4 linked regions of the Daphnia pulex genome follow. The protein of the gene in region 3 interacts with the protein of the main gene of each other region in a biochemical or structural test. Links are inferred from orthologs where the notes say so. Each region holds a gene or a part of one and is shown on either strand. Other genes may lie near its edges.

Evidence for each region.
Region 1: the proteins of peroxisomal targeting signal 1 receptor-like (region 3) and alanine--glyoxylate aminotransferase-like are reported together in a solved structure, tested with the Homo sapiens proteins (2 studies listed by BioGRID and IntAct, with this or other methods). The link is inferred for Daphnia pulex from reciprocal best matches to the Homo sapiens genes PEX5 and AGXT.
Region 2: the proteins of peroxisomal targeting signal 1 receptor-like (region 3) and peroxisomal membrane protein PEX13-like form a complex in vitro, tested with the Homo sapiens proteins (3 studies listed by BioGRID). The link is inferred for Daphnia pulex from reciprocal best matches to the Homo sapiens genes PEX5 and PEX13.
Region 4: the proteins of peroxisomal targeting signal 1 receptor-like (region 3) and peroxisomal targeting signal 2 receptor-like form a complex in vitro, tested with the Homo sapiens proteins (3 studies listed by BioGRID). The link is inferred for Daphnia pulex from reciprocal best matches to the Homo sapiens genes PEX5 and PEX7.

The regions. Positions count from the first base shown.
Region 1 is NC_060018.1:10,707,093-10,711,307, forward strand, and holds alanine--glyoxylate aminotransferase-like, read left to right. Parts: upstream 1-1,415; 5' UTR 1,416-1,555; intron 1,556-1,640; exon of another isoform or gene 1,641-1,642; 5' UTR 1,643-1,647; coding exon 1,648-1,803; intron 1,804-1,865; coding exon 1,866-2,058; intron 2,059-2,130; coding exon 2,131-2,296; intron 2,297-2,366; coding exon 2,367-2,522; intron 2,523-2,583; coding exon 2,584-2,679; intron 2,680-2,832; coding exon 2,833-3,081; intron 3,082-3,196; coding exon 3,197-3,362; 3' UTR 3,363-3,837; downstream 3,838-4,215. UniProt on the Homo sapiens protein: Peroxisomal aminotransferase that catalyzes the transamination of glyoxylate to glycine and contributes to the glyoxylate detoxification.
Region 2 is NC_060017.1:2,686,771-2,690,595, reverse strand, and holds peroxisomal membrane protein PEX13-like, read left to right. Parts: upstream 1-1,465; 5' UTR 1,466-1,595; coding exon 1,596-1,690; intron 1,691-1,765; coding exon 1,766-2,062; intron 2,063-2,133; coding exon 2,134-2,381; intron 2,382-2,456; coding exon 2,457-2,663; intron 2,664-2,733; coding exon 2,734-2,975; 3' UTR 2,976-3,325; downstream 3,326-3,825. Other genes in the region: opsin, ultraviolet-sensitive-like, read right to left, coding at 3,419-3,542, 3,607-3,708, 3,770-3,825. UniProt on the Homo sapiens protein: Component of the PEX13-PEX14 docking complex, a translocon channel that specifically mediates the import of peroxisomal cargo proteins bound to PEX5 receptor.
Region 3 is NC_060028.1:9,644,642-9,648,651, reverse strand, and holds the start of peroxisomal targeting signal 1 receptor-like, read left to right. Parts: upstream 1-1,210; 5' UTR 1,211-1,392; intron 1,393-1,455; 5' UTR 1,456-1,513; coding exon 1,514-1,657; intron 1,658-1,735; coding exon 1,736-2,167; intron 2,168-2,226; coding exon 2,227-2,446; intron 2,447-2,511; coding exon 2,512-2,660; intron 2,661-2,717; coding exon 2,718-2,874; intron 2,875-2,938; coding exon 2,939-3,093; intron 3,094-3,152; coding exon 3,153-3,250; intron 3,251-3,321; coding exon 3,322-3,448; intron 3,449-3,518; coding exon 3,519-3,560; intron 3,561-3,638; coding exon 3,639-3,675; intron 3,676-3,744; coding exon 3,745-3,865; intron 3,866-3,934; coding exon 3,935-4,010. Other genes in the region: NSFL1 cofactor p47-like, read right to left, coding at 1-59, 136-277, 343-449, 509-688, 753-865, 929-1,030.
Region 4 is NC_060018.1:847,306-850,747, forward strand, and holds peroxisomal targeting signal 2 receptor-like, read left to right. Parts: upstream 1-1,355; 5' UTR 1,356-1,467; coding exon 1,468-1,579; intron 1,580-1,668; coding exon 1,669-1,844; intron 1,845-1,901; coding exon 1,902-2,015; intron 2,016-2,080; coding exon 2,081-2,189; intron 2,190-2,245; coding exon 2,246-2,439; intron 2,440-2,523; coding exon 2,524-2,772; 3' UTR 2,773-2,942; downstream 2,943-3,442. Other genes in the region: GDP-fucose protein O-fucosyltransferase 1-like, read right to left, coding at 1-84, 192-364, 478-669, 750-867, 938-1,059, 1,138-1,240. UniProt on the Homo sapiens protein: Receptor required for the peroxisomal import of proteins containing a C-terminal PTS2-type peroxisomal targeting signal. Specifically binds to cargo proteins containing a PTS2 peroxisomal targeting signal in the cytosol.

The sequences.
Region 1 (4,215 bases), on a different chromosome or scaffold from region 3:
TTGTTTTTGTTACTGTAATCAATAGAGCTTTAGAAATGCGCTAGTGTCTATTAAATTATCCCTATGCGACATATATTTAACTTCGATGATATTTTAATTACAAATTGACGGAGGTGTTCGTTGGTTGTCGCCGTCTAGCGGTGATTGTTGGTTGACCACTCTGTGATTCTCTGGTTTTGGTTTGGTTTGGTATGATTAGGTGCGTCTGCTATCTGGGATTCTCTGGTGATTCTCTGGATTCTGTTTGTTTTCTTTCTAAAAACCATGGAAGAGTTTAGAATTCTTAGCGCTAGGTGGAGACAACCAACGAACACCTCTCCCGTCCTCTAAAAATTAAAACGCAAATATCTTTTAATTTAATATCTTCACAAGAAATGTGCATTGGAGACTTACAATAGCTTTTTAAATCTCTATCGATTGACCCTTCTTCAAAAAATATGATTAAAAATCCACCCGACAAGCTATAACACGGCGGGATAGGACGTGAGTCCCGTCCTCTAGCTTTAGTAGTCCATGGCTAAGCATAGACGAGATAGTGCGCGACCATGTTGCGCAGGATGTCCAACTGCTCCATAGTCAAAGTTTGTTATCCCTTTTTCTGCAGTCTGTTTAGCACAACCGGGATTTTTATGTTTGCCGTCCGGAATAACCCCGTCAACATAAGATTGACATTTTCGTTAATTGTGAATCAACGAGAAAACACACAAAAAAAACTTCGTACACTTTTAAAGATAATTGAATGGGCTTTTCAGTGATATATAGTTGAACTAGATTTTGAATTTTTCAAATGTTAAAAATCGCAATCAAAGCAAAAGAATAAGAAAAATTGCGAAAAATTTATTGGAAAAATCTGATTTTCTTAAATAACTCTAAAATTTATCATTGTTTTTTTACCAAACTTGGCATACCAGTACCTAACATTGTTATGCATCAGTTGGTAAAAAATTATTTCCTTAATTGATTTCTAACAGGCCGATAAGGCGGCTGTCCGGAATAGCCCCCGTCCGGAATAGCCCCGCTCTCCCCTACTGTATATTTTTTTACATATAAATTCATCATATAAATTCATATTTCCTACGGGAACATCGCAATCCAAAGGGGTGCGCCACAAATGGTGCCCAGAGAAAAAGTTTTATGTTTTTTTTAGAAAGGGTTTTTTTTTCTCTGGGGGTGCCCAACCGTTTAGTTGCTTGATTTCGCACTAGACGGCGCGTAAAAATAAAAGGACAAATTCGAAAATTGCGAAGACAGGATAAGGGTAAACACTAAACACAAAAAAAAGATTTTCAAAAATGAAACTAAATAACAAACTACCCTTGCTAACGCGAACGCTACTTGCTCAGTCAGGTAGCTGCTAAATTGACAAAGTAGAGTTATTTGAATAATATCACGAATATATAAGTGGCTCAACAGGTGGCGTCGGAATGTCTGCAGACGATATGTTCAACGACTGTTGCCATAGCATTGAGCTGGTTCGTGCCGTAACTCGTGTCCAAAGTCGAAAGAGATCATAACGGATTCACTGCTTGTCATTATTACTGCGTCAATTACAAAGGTTATCATTACTTTAAATTATTTCCGTGAAACATTGTTGCAATGTTCAAATGAATTACTATTTTGAACTATGTTGCTGCTTGCACAGTTACCATGGCCGTCGACTATCAACCTCCTCAGTGCCTTTCAAGACCAATCGAGGTCCCGTCCAAACTGTTAATGGGAGCAGGTCCATCCAATGCCGCTGAAAATGTATTGAAAGCTGGAAGTTTGCCTTTATTGGGGCATCTTCACACTGAGTTTACCCAAGTATGTGGCTTTTTAACATTTTTGTTGTTGTCATATTTGTAAACATCTTTCATTTGCTGCAGATTATGGATGATGTCAAACAAGGCATCCAGTATGCATTCCAAACAACAAATACTCTGACCCTTGCTATAAGTGGTACAGGCCATGCAGGCATGGAGGCAGCTTTGTGTAATCTCATTGAACGAAATGATGTTGTTCTCATTGGCATCAATGGAATCTGGGGAGAAAGAGCAGCTGATATGGCCAACCGCCAAGGTAAAAGTTTATGCCCACTTGCTCGTTAAAGCTCCATCTCCATTCATTCATCTTTTGTTTGTTGATGATTAGGTGCTGATGTTCAAACTGTCACAAAAGTGGCAGGAGAAAATTTCAGTTTGGCTGATATTGAAGCTGCCTTACTGCAACACAAACCAGCTGTTCTCTTTCTGGCTCAGGGAGAATCGTCCACCGGTGTGGTGCAACCCATTGAGGGTTTTGGTGCCCTGTGTACCAAGTAAATAATATCTATTAAATATTAAAATCAAGCTTATCAGCGAGACGTTGATTTCCTCTTCTATTTGCAGGCATAATTGTCTGTTGCTAGTGGATACCGTAGCCTCCCTGGGCGGTGAGCCGTTTTACATGGATCGATGGCAAGTTGATGTTGTTTACACGGGCTCTCAAAAAGTCCTGGGAGCGCCGCCCGGGACCGCTCCCATCTCATTTGGCCCTCGCGCAGTGTAAGAGTCTCATTCGATTACTTATCGTTCCGCTTTTAACTCTACACTACTGACTCTCTAGGGCCAAGATTGCCGGGCGAAAGACCCCGATATCTTCTTTTTACTTCGACATGAATTGGCTTGGCAACTACTGGGGCTGCGATAGCCAACCGCGCAAGTAAGTGGTTCCACCGTGGTCGTCGCCACTGCTGCCCGCCAGCATTGGCGGGCGGCGGCGGCGTCGTCCTCTAGACGAGGTCGACGAGATTTCCAGATACCTCTGATATTAGAATGACCCACTTGAACGTTGTAACGTGTGGTCAAACGCTAGGTACCATCACACTGCGCCCATTTCCAGCATCTACGCCTTGCGCGAAGCTCTCGCCTTGCTGGCCAACGAAGGCCTGGAGAATTCATGGAATCGCCATCGTCAGAGCCGAGATCGCCTTATCAGCGGCTTGGCTAAATTGAACCTGAAGCCGCTGGCGTCGGAGCCCGCCGCCCGTCTGACGTGCATCACGGCGATTCAAGTCCCAGACGGCGTCGACTGGAAATCCGTCACCACCCACGCCATGTCCATGTAAATTTAAACCCCTCTCGTGACTCTCGCGCGCCCCGTACGCATTTTCTTACGTCCATGGAAATAACCATTCACGTTTTTATTTTTGTTTTGTCTTTTTAAAATATATAAAAAGGCGCGTGGAGATTGCCGGCGGATTGGGCCCCACTGCCGGACGTATCTGGCGTGTCGGACTAATGGGACAGAACGCTACCGATGAGCGCGTCGATCGTGTTTTGGAGGTGTTGGCCGAGTCCATCAAGAGCGCCACCGCTCCCGTCACCGTCATGGGCCGGCTCTGAAACTGCTGCGCAAATTCCCAAACCCGCACACAACATTCCGATATTACCAAAATACCCAGATCTTCCAGATTCACTTAGGCAATTTATCTTCCAGCTTTTTTTGGTTATCGTAGGACAACAAAAAATGGTTTTTTAAAAGGGAAATTGCATTTTTTCGAAACCAGTAGAGTCTCTTTATTGTAGTTGGGTTACACACACACACTAAAAAAAGAAGTATAAAATGGAAAGTCTATATTGGGGGTCCAGCTCTCATCACAACTTTGTTACCGAGCTTGTTGTTATCTTCGTTATCGCCCGCCCCGCACAAAAGGTGCTTGTTGTTTTGCTGTGTGTTTTTTATTTTGTGTCGGAGCCCCTTTAAAAAGCTGTTGGAAAAATGGTGGGACCAAAATATGCCGAGTACAAATGTACTCTGACCACGATTGAAAAGATGTACTACTCGCCCGGCCAAATACAAACGTGTAGACGCACTCAATTGACGTCTTGACGTCAAGACAATCAACCACACACTCACACAAAAGAAAGAAACCTTTTTTTCTAAAACGAACGTAACCCATCTTTCACTCTATCTGTTTCTATCTCTTCTTTTTTTTCGCAAAGTGTCTTTCTTATTTTATTTTTTTCCAGTGGGAGTTATCCGTCGGAATAGACCGCCGAGCAATTTGACTTTCTTTCTATTTGCGCAAGTCTCAAAGTTTTTTGTTCAAGAAACCAAAAGTCTTTTTTTTTATTTTATTTTTTCTGTATTTTTGTCGGGTGGGTTCGCCCCGTGACGGCCGATGCGTAGATGGAAAAGCCTCTCGAGTCTCATCATTCACGGTGCTCTTTCGTTCTGCGCAATTTGTCGCGGGGC
Region 2 (3,825 bases), on a different chromosome or scaffold from region 3:
TGCGGCTCCTAATATACTATAGTTGGAATATTAGTAAATAAATCTATACGCCATGCTGGGAGAGAGAAAGAGAAAAGGAATGTGTGTGCTGTTGTTGACTTGATAATTACACAGTTATGGCGGGACAATAACAGCAGAAGCGCCGCATGCAGAGTGCAGTGCCAGCTGCAGTTTTCGTCGCGTTTATCATGGTAATAACATCACTGTTGGTTACTATGTGCTGCCGATTTTTTCGCTTCACTCTTTACACCAGAATGTGTGGACACAGTCCTGGTAAATGTGTAATGTCTGCTGATGGGGATGTCTGGCTGAATATTTATTTTCCTCGTTTTTAAGGCTAATCGGAAAAGATGCAGATGGTCGGAATGAACAACCGCAGCCCAGATATTTAGGCACGGTATTCTACGTTGCGCCAGGGCTATAAGATCAAGAGGATGCATTAGATGAATTCACTTTCTTTCATAACGCCCACTACATTTCAATCTAATGATGGTCGTATTCACGGTGAATATTTATCGAGAAATTTTCACGTTGGAGAGTTTGTTTGTTATAGATTCAATCCTTCGAAAATTCTCGGATTTTGTTGTTCAAATATTCTTCTCGTTGCTCTCTGATTTTGTGGAGGATTCCGTTCATAACTTTTTAAAAAGAGAACCTGATTTGATGGGTTTGTTATGAAATGACTGCCCCAACTATTCAGTGAGATGTTTAGCAGTTTCTATTCAGAGCCGAGTTCTTTACATAACGCTGCCGTGCAGGCGTTCATGAAACCTATTGGCAGTCGACGTTGGCTGAATAGGGGGGTGGGCAATGGTGGTTGAATACACATCAGGAATCACGCACGCTTCACGACCGCACTCAGCAGAATTATTACACAACTACTACCAGAGAACCGGGTTGGTGAGAGCTGTGCTGCTGTGTGCAGGCACTTGGAGGCCATTCCCAACTCTCCTCCTTCCCCAATCCTATAGCCTTAGGCAGCTCCAATAATTGGCTGCTGCACGACAACGAATAGAAATTCAATCTCACCGGAGTGATTGCTTGCCAGCGTGAATCCGAGAACCTTTTTCTTCAATTCCTATTTATGATGTGCTCTCTACTTCAACTTTTTTTCACTCTCTCTCTCTCCCTTTCTTCATCCCTGACATGTTTAGATTATGTTGAGTGGTTTCCCAAGCATTTTAGCTTCATCCGAATCATTCCTTATAATCAAACTTCATTGTCGATTATGTTGAATATGTTGCAGTAAAAAAAAAGATATTAATAAATCTGATTAAATTTGAAATAGTCGTCAGACTTAATTTCAAAACAGTAAAAGTAAACAGACAAGGATATTACGCATCAACGCGTGTGTATTGTTACTTAGTTATATCCTTAACGTATTTAAAAGTTTGCGGCAGATTTTTGAATTGAAAGAAATTTTCACACTACTACCATCTACCGGTGTACAAACTCATCTCATTCGTTTCGGAATTTTTATAATGGTGTCGTCTTGTTGTTGACAAGTCGATTCCGTTTTCTGTATCAGAGTTCGCTGGATTTATCAGCAAATCGAGGCAAAGTCTTCGAGTTTTTAGTCTGAATCGTTCAACGCCATGGCAGCTCCATTAAAGCCGTGGGAAAGGGCTGGTGTAAATTCACGAGCTTTTGGTGGCGACATTGGCAACACCTTACCTACACCCATCGTCAGGTGCGTAATACATGTTGTGTTTAGTTCATTTGTTTGGTTTGTTACCTTCATCAATATCTGTTTTGATTATTTTAGTGGGGGTGGAGGAAGTGCTTTTACAGCTTCAGGGCCTGGCGTCCCACCACTGCCTCCTAGAGTACCCGGGGCAAACCCAACAAACAATGATTATGGTGCAGTTTCAAGCTATTCTCCATATCGAACAGGCATTTCAAGTTATTCAAGCCCTTACGGTTACAGTAGTGGATATGGGGGTTATTCGGGACTTTCTAGTGGCTATGGTACTAGTTATGGAGGCTATGGTAACAGCTATGGTGGATATGGAAGTTACAACTCTTATGGAGGGAGAAGTTATGGAGGGACAAGTGATAACAGGTAAAATTTTAAAAATTAAAATAATCATACTTACAACAATTCAACAATTTCATTATTTTTTCTCAAACAAGGTTTATTTCCATGGCAGAAGAGAGTTCTCAACCTGCATTTCAGAGCTTGGAATCAATTGTCCATGCATTTAGCTCCATTAGCATGATGCTGGATTCAACCTTGAATGCTGTTTACAGCTCTTTCAGAGCCGTATTGGGTATGGCTGATCAGTTTTCCCGAATGCGAACACATTTAAGCAAGGTGTTTTCTGCATTGGCCATATTTCGTACGGCAAAATGGGCTCTACACAAATTATTCTACATATTTGGTATGTCTGATTATGCAAATTCTCGACGCAGTAGTTGCAGCCATTGTTATCAACTAAACCCCCTTGTGTTTACAGGTTTGAGACGAGAAAATCCAATCAATACGGCATGGTCCACTGCCGTATCAAATTCGGATGCCTTATCTGCGGGTCTATTGACTGAAGCTGATATTAAAAAGTCCAGATCATCATGGCCCATCACCTTGTTCCTTGCCATAATCATTTCTGCCCCATATTTCATATGGAGGATCATATCTTCCCTAGACAGTGCTCCGGATGCACTAGGTGCGTTAACACACTAACTTTTGTTTCATAAACTCGCTTATTCAAATTATCTAATCTTTTAATGCTCTAGGAAAAAAGTGGGCTGATGGCCTAGGAGAATATTATACTGCTCAGGCAGATTATGATTTCAATGCCGGAAACGAACAAGAATTAAGTTTCAGAGCTGGCCAATCCCTACGCTTGGCTCCCCGTTCCCTTCAGCCTCGCATCAAAGGCTGGATGCTTGCCGGCACCGATTCACAACACACGGGCCTCGTACCTGCGAATTACATCAAAATTTTGGCCAAACACGAAAGTTCGACTCCCAAATAATTCATTTGACTGATATACAGTAGCTAAACCAAAGGAATAACCTTGTCCAAAAGTAAATTGTTAGCTGTTTGATGCCATTCAGTTATTTCGAGCTATATTTTTATCAGTCATGGAGTTGGGCCACTACTCATATTCAAAGCCTCAAAAACATTTAAGGCGTTTGAAATTATTGGCGGCCTTTGTGAAATTATTCAAATTTTTTTTACCCCAATTTTTAGAGGCTTGTGAATAGGAAACGCTCAAATGTTGACGAAATCGTACGATTAAGTGATGATGACTCCTTTTTGTTATGCTGGGTTTGTTTATTTGTAATTCAACAAATCAATATATATTGTGGGATATTAAAACTACTACTAATTGCTATGGATGATTTTTTCTTCGGAAGGTTATGTTCATGATCCTGTTTCGGTCCTTGGTCAAAATAATTAAAGGCTATGCAGATTTTACGAAGAAGTTTCCTTGGAGACACCAGACATTTCTGTCGTGGCCGAACCGACGCTCGAATCGTCGTTGGTAGGAACAGGCTCGTGAATGCAGAACCAGGGCATTTTCTTCTGCAGTTCCATGCTGAAAGGATGAAGAAAAATGTGGTAAGAATGACTGTCATTTCACTATGAATAAGATGTGTTACCGATAACGGGGATGGTTGATTGCATAGATCCATGGGTTGATGCAGGATACCAATTTACAACAACAGGCAGGCACCGTGCTCAGAAGTGGTGTCAGGACGGACCTGTGAAAAGATGACGATGGTGATTTATTTGAGAACAAATTTGTTGAAAGTATTATCTCACCTATTTCCAAAAGCGGCTGTGAGAGCCACAAAGGCATAAGGAGTCCAAGCGAAAAC
Region 3 (4,010 bases):
CCATTTGCAAATGCACTTCACGGCCGCGAGATTCACGGATCAACTCCATGGGTACTTCTCTAATGATGGACAAATTGTAAGGAAATTTGTAAACAATTGTTTTATTCATATTTAAAACGTAGAATGCACAATTACCCGCGTTTGATGTATTCAAGGAAGTCCTTGTTTGCCGGATTTTGGTAGTCTCTCACTGGACCCTCATCTAAACTGAAGCCGGTTTTCCATAATTTTAGCACAACGGTCCTAGGTTGTTCAGGCTGTCGTGCGCCTGGTATGACTATAGAAAGGAATTATGCTTGAAGAAATGTCATGGTGCTGTTATTTCATGGCAAAGATAACTACCTTGTGTATCCTCTTCACTCTGCCCTAGACGATATCCAGTTCCTTTAAATGTTTGATTACCCTTGGTTGAGGTTGAGGCCCCCTTTTCCAAAACTTCTGCTCCATGCCTAGGATCCAGAAAATGTTAATACATTTTTCTTGTAATAATCTCAAAGAGTAAACCCACTCTCTGGCTGATTTGAACATGTCTCCAATGAGATCTCCAGAAGGCTTTCCCTTGTTACGTGGTGGACCAATGACTTGCTGACCACTTCTCTCAGAGCCTCCAACATAAAAAGCTTGGCCCTCTTCATCCGAATCAGAAGAACTATTCATTTCTACAAGTTTATGGACAGCAGCAGCACCTCTATAATTAAATTTTCAAAATTTGGTCTGCACTACAGTATGTGAAAAATCATATTAACTAATACCTTGATGGGGGTTCTGGAAGTTGGTTTGAAGGAACTTCAACAGGTTCATCTTCTCCATCTCCAGCTTGCCTGTCCATAGCTCCATCATTTTCAAAGAAGCTGGCAAGGGCTGTCTGAGAATCAAAGTGATTTATTTATTGAATGCTCATAACTGTTCTTAATCTGTCTTAGTATACTTCTAATTGCCAACCGGATGACTCTAGGTAAAAACGAGCCCTTTGTTCATCAATCCCAGTTACTTCCCGGAAATTGGCAACTAATTCGTCGTTCGCTGACATGTTCAAACTAAATGTATTGAGTAATTACAATAGACAGGCAAAACTAGGCAGAATTTCAAGACTAAAATATTTTCACCAAACGAAGGACAGAGCTGACGACTCGTCGGATCGGGATTTCGAACAAAAGTCGTAATGTTTTTCATGACCGACAGAGCCATCTATACCACCATGGCCTTTATTCACTAGGTGGCTTTTGTTGTTTGTTGTACGAAATTGGTGTGGATGTGACTTTGCAGAGTGATAGAAGTTACAGTGATAAGACATACACACGATATCTTAACAACTTGCTTTCATAAGTTATATTGATGAATAGTATTGGGAAATTATTACCGAACCATTCTTGAGCTAGACCCTCTTTTTAGGTAACACATGATTTCTAATGACACATGTGTAACAGAAACTAATATATTGTTTTGTATTTTTAGGTAGCTATACATTCAGGAAGAAGTTTGGAGACCTTGAGCTCGGACATCAGTACCTAGAATGGCGTTTCGAGAATTAGTTGATGGAAATTGTGGTGGAAGGAATCCTATGCTTAAAGTAGCATCACATTTTACCAGAGATCAAGGATTTCGTCAGGATGTACCTGTTTCACATAGACACCCTGAACCGAGACCAGAAGATGTTGTAAGTTGATTCCTGACTCACTGTCTAAAGAAAAAGCATTCTCTCACAAATCTTTTTTTTATCTCAACTATTTTCTAGATGGTCAGAGAATTTTTGGAGGGTATTCCACCTCCATCTCAAGTAGGATCAAGAGGTGCCTTTAACATGGATAGCCTTTTACGTGAGATGAGGGATCTGGAAAAGCCACAAGGAATTGCTAGACCTCCTATTCAACCAGGACCAAATGTAGCCCATTATGCATTTGATGACAAAAACTGGGCTGAAGATTTTTTGAGGAAAGAACCTCATGTGATACCAGAAGATTTACCTTCTGCTAGTGGATGGAGTCAGGAGTTTCTGGACAGTCCTGGCTATATGGGAGTTGTAGATGATTATGCAGAGTGGGACAACCATTGGGATAGCTTAACCTCTCATATAGAAAAACCGGGATTTTCTGCTCCTGGCGCATTAGCCCAAACTGCCGGAGAAATTATTGACAGAATGAAAGATCCAAAATTTGCTCAATCTGAGGTAATATTTTATGCGCATGATCCCTTTCCTGACCAAAGTTTCTGAAAAAAAGCTTTCAGTTTTTGCAGTTTATGCACAAGGTCAATCAAGGGGAGGAGGATTTGACCTCGGAACCTCGGACTACTACCGCTCATAGTAATTCAAACTGGGCGGAGGAGTTTTCTGGCTCAGAGGGTGTAACAAGACAGCCAGAATCCAGTGCAGATCAAGACTGGGCTGCTGAATTCACAACTAATCGTCAACCTGATTCGGCCGACGAATGGACAAAAGAATTCAGCGGTAGTGTTATATATTTTAAGTAGCTAATCAACTTCATCCTTGTAATTTTTTTTGCATATATAAAGACGGTGCCAGCGCTGAAGTGTTTAGGGGCGGAAATCCAGCTCAAGATGACTTCTGGTCACAACTTCAACAAGACTGGGAAAAAGCAGCCGACGACAACCCTGCAAGCTACGGATGGCTTAAGGAAACGCAACAAGATCCGTTAAGTGAAGTAATAATGCGCATGGTATTTACTAGTTCCTTGATTCTCACTTCTGTTGGTTTTTAGTACACATTTGAGGCAGAGAATCCGTACCAAGACAACGCGGATCCTTACAATACAGGTCTCCAAAAAAGATTAGAAGGTGATCTTCCAAGTGCCATTTTGCTGTTTGAGGCAGCTCTAAAAAAAGATCCTGAACATGTGAAAGCTTGGGAAGTTCTTGGTAAAAATATCTAATTATTTATATGCCAGGATTCTGTGTAAAGTTAGCTTGTTTTTTATTTTAGGGTTGACTCTTGCCGAAAACGAACAAGATCCAGGGGCAATTACCGCATACAAGCGTTGCTTAGCATTGGAACCAACAAATCTTGTTGCCATGATGGGTCTGGCTGTAAGTTACACAAATGAATCTTACCAGTTGCAAGCTTGCCAAGCCCTGGAGGTAATTGTTTTCCAATTAGTGTAAGGCATACAACATTAAAGGTGGTTTTATATTATTAGGACTGGTTGCGGAACAATCCCAAGTACGGACACTTGACCTCTCCTTCATCAGCCAGGGTTAACGAACGGGAGAGAACATTTACAAGCCTAGTTTCTGGGTACAGGAAATATTTTCTAATTTGTTGTGATATTACGGCGCAAACTTACCCGAGTTTTAAATTCTACCTAGGGATACTTTTAACCGAGTTCAGGATATGTACTTAACAGCAGCTCGATTACAACCTTCCCAAGACTTAGATCCCGATGTGCAAACTGGCTTAGGCGTACTTCTCAATCTCTCTGGGGATTTTGATAAAGTATGATGCATTTATGAAATTATTCGATTTTCTTGATTTTTTCAATTGGCTGCATTGCTTCAATTTTTAGGCTCCCGATTGTTTCAGGGCTGCTCTTCAGATGAAACCTAATGTAAGTTGTGGTGATTTATTATTTGCATGTACTTTTTTCAAGTTTATGATTTTATTTATTGTTAATTCCTATTTTCAGGATTCTTTGCTTTGGAATCGGCTCGGAGCAACTTTAGGTGACTAGCTTTTCTTACATAGAATAGTCTTACATAAGAACGTATGCATGATTTACGTGTTATTTGTAGCCAATGGAGGGAAATCTGAAGAGGCCATTGAGTCATATTACAAAGCTCTAGAGCTGTCGCCTGGTTTCATTCGCGCGCGTTATAACTTGGCAGTTTCCTGTATCAACCTAGGTGCTCACAGGTAATAAAGATTAACATTTTCTTTCTCCAATCCTGTTTAGTGTATACATTTTCTAAATTCTCGAAACAGAGAAGCAGCCGAACATCTAGTGTCCGCTTTACTCCTTCAAGCTAGACGTTCTAAGCGCGTCATGTCCGACAATATT
Region 4 (3,442 bases), on a different chromosome or scaffold from region 3:
AATTCCCAACTCGTTGCGGTAACCCAAACACTGAGGAGCAGAAAATAAGTTGGGGCTATGTTCCAAATGCTCGCAAGCTCTAGTCTGCATTCGAAATAAAGTAAAATGTGAAAAATAATAATAAAAAAAAAGAGACGAACAATATACTTTCAAATCAAGTACTAAAAACCCTCCTTAAAAGGGATATTTACCCAGTCAACGCCATTCCGCAAGTGAATACCAACAAATGCTCCGATAGGAAGTACATTGCGGATAAAGTTAACTGCCCGGTCGACAATTCGCCGACTCCATTTAAGGTATTTATGCAGTCCAACGTTTTCTTGCTGAACTGGAAAACTTGCAGGGGCCCCGGTAAATGCAAGAACTGATCAAAATAAAAAAAAAAAAAAAAAAATTTAGTTTGTTAATATTAAGTCACAATAAAGTCTTCTTTATCTATGATTAAGTCAACAACTATGGAATTTAAGTAATATCTACCTGGTGATTTTTGAATAGGGTATCTGCTGTTCCATTTTCTGGCCATGTCTTGATGATGGACATCATAGTTAAGTGGACCATAAAATTCAGATTGAACAAAATCTACACTGAAAGTGTCCCAAAAAGGCCCAAAAGGGTTTCCTTCCTTAGCATTACAGTCTGTACCTTGACCTCTGGCCATGTAACAAAAAGCTGAAAAGGTATAAACATTTTTCATTAGATTTTCAAAGTCAATACTCAGACCTAGTAATTCATATAATTATAAAACTTGCATGTTCTTTCGTTTAATGGCCAAACTTTAGGAGCAATATTCTCCATGAAGTCTTCCATTGAGATAACCCGATGGAACTCTGAGAGGGGTTCCAGTTCAAAATAATGTAAGAAAGGAACCTGAAAATGAATTTTTGGATAATACAGGAATAATTCATTTTTTATAATAATACAGCGTGTTCGAAGGAACCTGAACTGATTTTGGCTCCCCAAATCTATATTCCACCCATGGGGGAAGAGCAAGTGTCCTATTTAGAGCCTTAGCAAATGCAAGTGATCCAAGGAAATGGTCAGCTTGATTACCAAACCTTCCTAGAAAACAGAAATGTTGCAAATTAAAGGTGAAACCTTCTGATTTCTAAAAGTACAAAAAGGGTTATAACTGATTACCCATGCACGGACAGTATAATATATATCCATTTGAATCTACATCAATATTTGCAAATATTGACGCAGCAAAAAGAAATGGCAGCAAGAATGTTAAGAGAGACATGTTTTTTTCTTATTTTTATTTAGAATTTGAAACGGTACAAATTCTCAACAGGTTTATGGTAGATGGCGGCTGTTAGTATTGGTTCAAAATTGGCCCATAGATGGCTCTTTCAGTCTTTTTCAACAATCAAATCAATTGACAAGTAAACAAATCACTTGACATGTAATAGAAAATTGAAAAGGAAGTCTTCTGTTAAAAATATTTCTTTAAAGCCAATAATTTCCAAAATGGATCTTGTATCTTTTCCTCTAAACGACTGCCATGGTTATTCCGTTAAATTTTCACCTTTTATTGAACGAAGAATTGCCTGTGTAGCTTCTCAAAATTATGGACTGTCAGGTAGGCATGAAGAAAAGTGCATCGTTGATAATTACATTGAAAAAATCCCGACTGCTTATCATCTATTTATCGTTTTTAACGTTACTAAGGATCTGGATTTCTCTTCGTTCTTGATTTAAGTCCTACCAACCACTTGACATTAGCAGTTCAGAGTCAATGGACTGATGGGCTTTTCGATTTAGCATTTGCTGAAGATCACCCAGATATAATCCTTACAGCATCAGGTGATGGAGGAATCCAATTGTGGGATCTTAAAACTCCAGAAGTATTAAACATTTCCTTAATATAGATACACTAATAATAAATTGTAACCCTATTTTAGGTGCCAAAACTTGTGTGGAAAGAACACTCAAGGGAAGTGTGTTGTCTAGACTGGAATCAAACCAGACAACAACAGCTAGTTCTGAGCTCTTCATGGGACAGAAGCATAAAACTAGTACCTCCAGAAAATTGTATACTTTAATAGATGATGTATTTATTCATTTTTTTTAAACAATGTAGTGGGATCCTAAGGGTACAAAGAGCATTTGCACTTTTTTGGGTCATTCTGATCTAGTCTACAATGTAACTTGGTCCCCACATTTACCAAATTGCTTTGCATCTGTCTCAGGTGAGAACCTCTTTCATTATCAAGTAAATAACAATGTTAACTCTGTTGTTTTGAAGGGGATCATACTCTATGTATCTGGAATAGCACTAAATCAGGTCAGCCTGTAGTCAAATTAACAGCTCATGCCACAGAAGTATTAGCGTGTGACTGGTCAAAATATGACCGGAACGTCATCGCAACTGGAGGAGTAGATGGCAGGATTAGAGCTTGGGATTTAAGGAATACCACTGCTCCATGCTTTGAACTAATCGTAATTCTTCATTTGAATCATCAGTGGAGCAAAACAACAAAAAAAAAACAGATTCTCTAACCTAATTTATGCATTTCTTCAAAGGGGCATGAGTATGCTGTGAAAAGATTGCGCTTTTCGCCCCATCAAGCGCACCTTTTGGCTTCGTGCTCTTACGACATGACCACGCGTGTCTGGGATACACGCCGCCTTCAGCCAGAAGTTTTTGCACATCACCGCGAATTTGTCTATGGACTCGACTTCAGCTGCCTGTCACCTGATAAAGTAGCTGACTGTTCCTGGGATCGCACAGTATCCATCTACACACCTCCATCTGTGTTGAACACTGAATAGAAAAAATGTTAGAATTACTCCCAAAATCGCCGGTTATTGTTATATTATTTTTTACATATTCGCAAATTTAAATTTCCCAGTTAAATGAATGTGGGATGTCCTGGAATATGTGAATCATTTGTTTTAGAACCGTATTATGAAATTTAATAGAATTCTAACTTTTCAAGTTATCAATAGCGTCATTACCGATCATAGCTCATTACATTTGGTTGCATCATAGAACTTAAGGGGGGGAGGCCGGGAGGGGCAGGTGTTAAACCATGGTCTACAGTGGTTAAACTTCCTATTTCTACGATTCTATTTTTTTTTATTTTTAAGTAAGCAGTATATTATTGATTATTCATTCATCTGATTATCTGAAATTGCACTAATTCTAATTTGAATACGAAGAAAAAAAAATGGGAAATTAAAAAAAATATATATGTAAGAAATCGATATTTGACTCGCGTCGTCTGCAGCCTGCGGCTTGGGGTAAGACTGACGGAACTTGAACTGTCAAAATAGCTTACGTGAGTAAAGACACAGTGACTGAGTACGTGGCAAAAACAAACTGGAAGTCGGTGAAGAGTGCTGCATTTTCTTTATGTAGGTAACTGGTTTTGAAATTCTATATAAGGGTTTGTAGAATATTTGTTTAAAGCTTGTTTGTGATAAAATTCATGAATTTCTA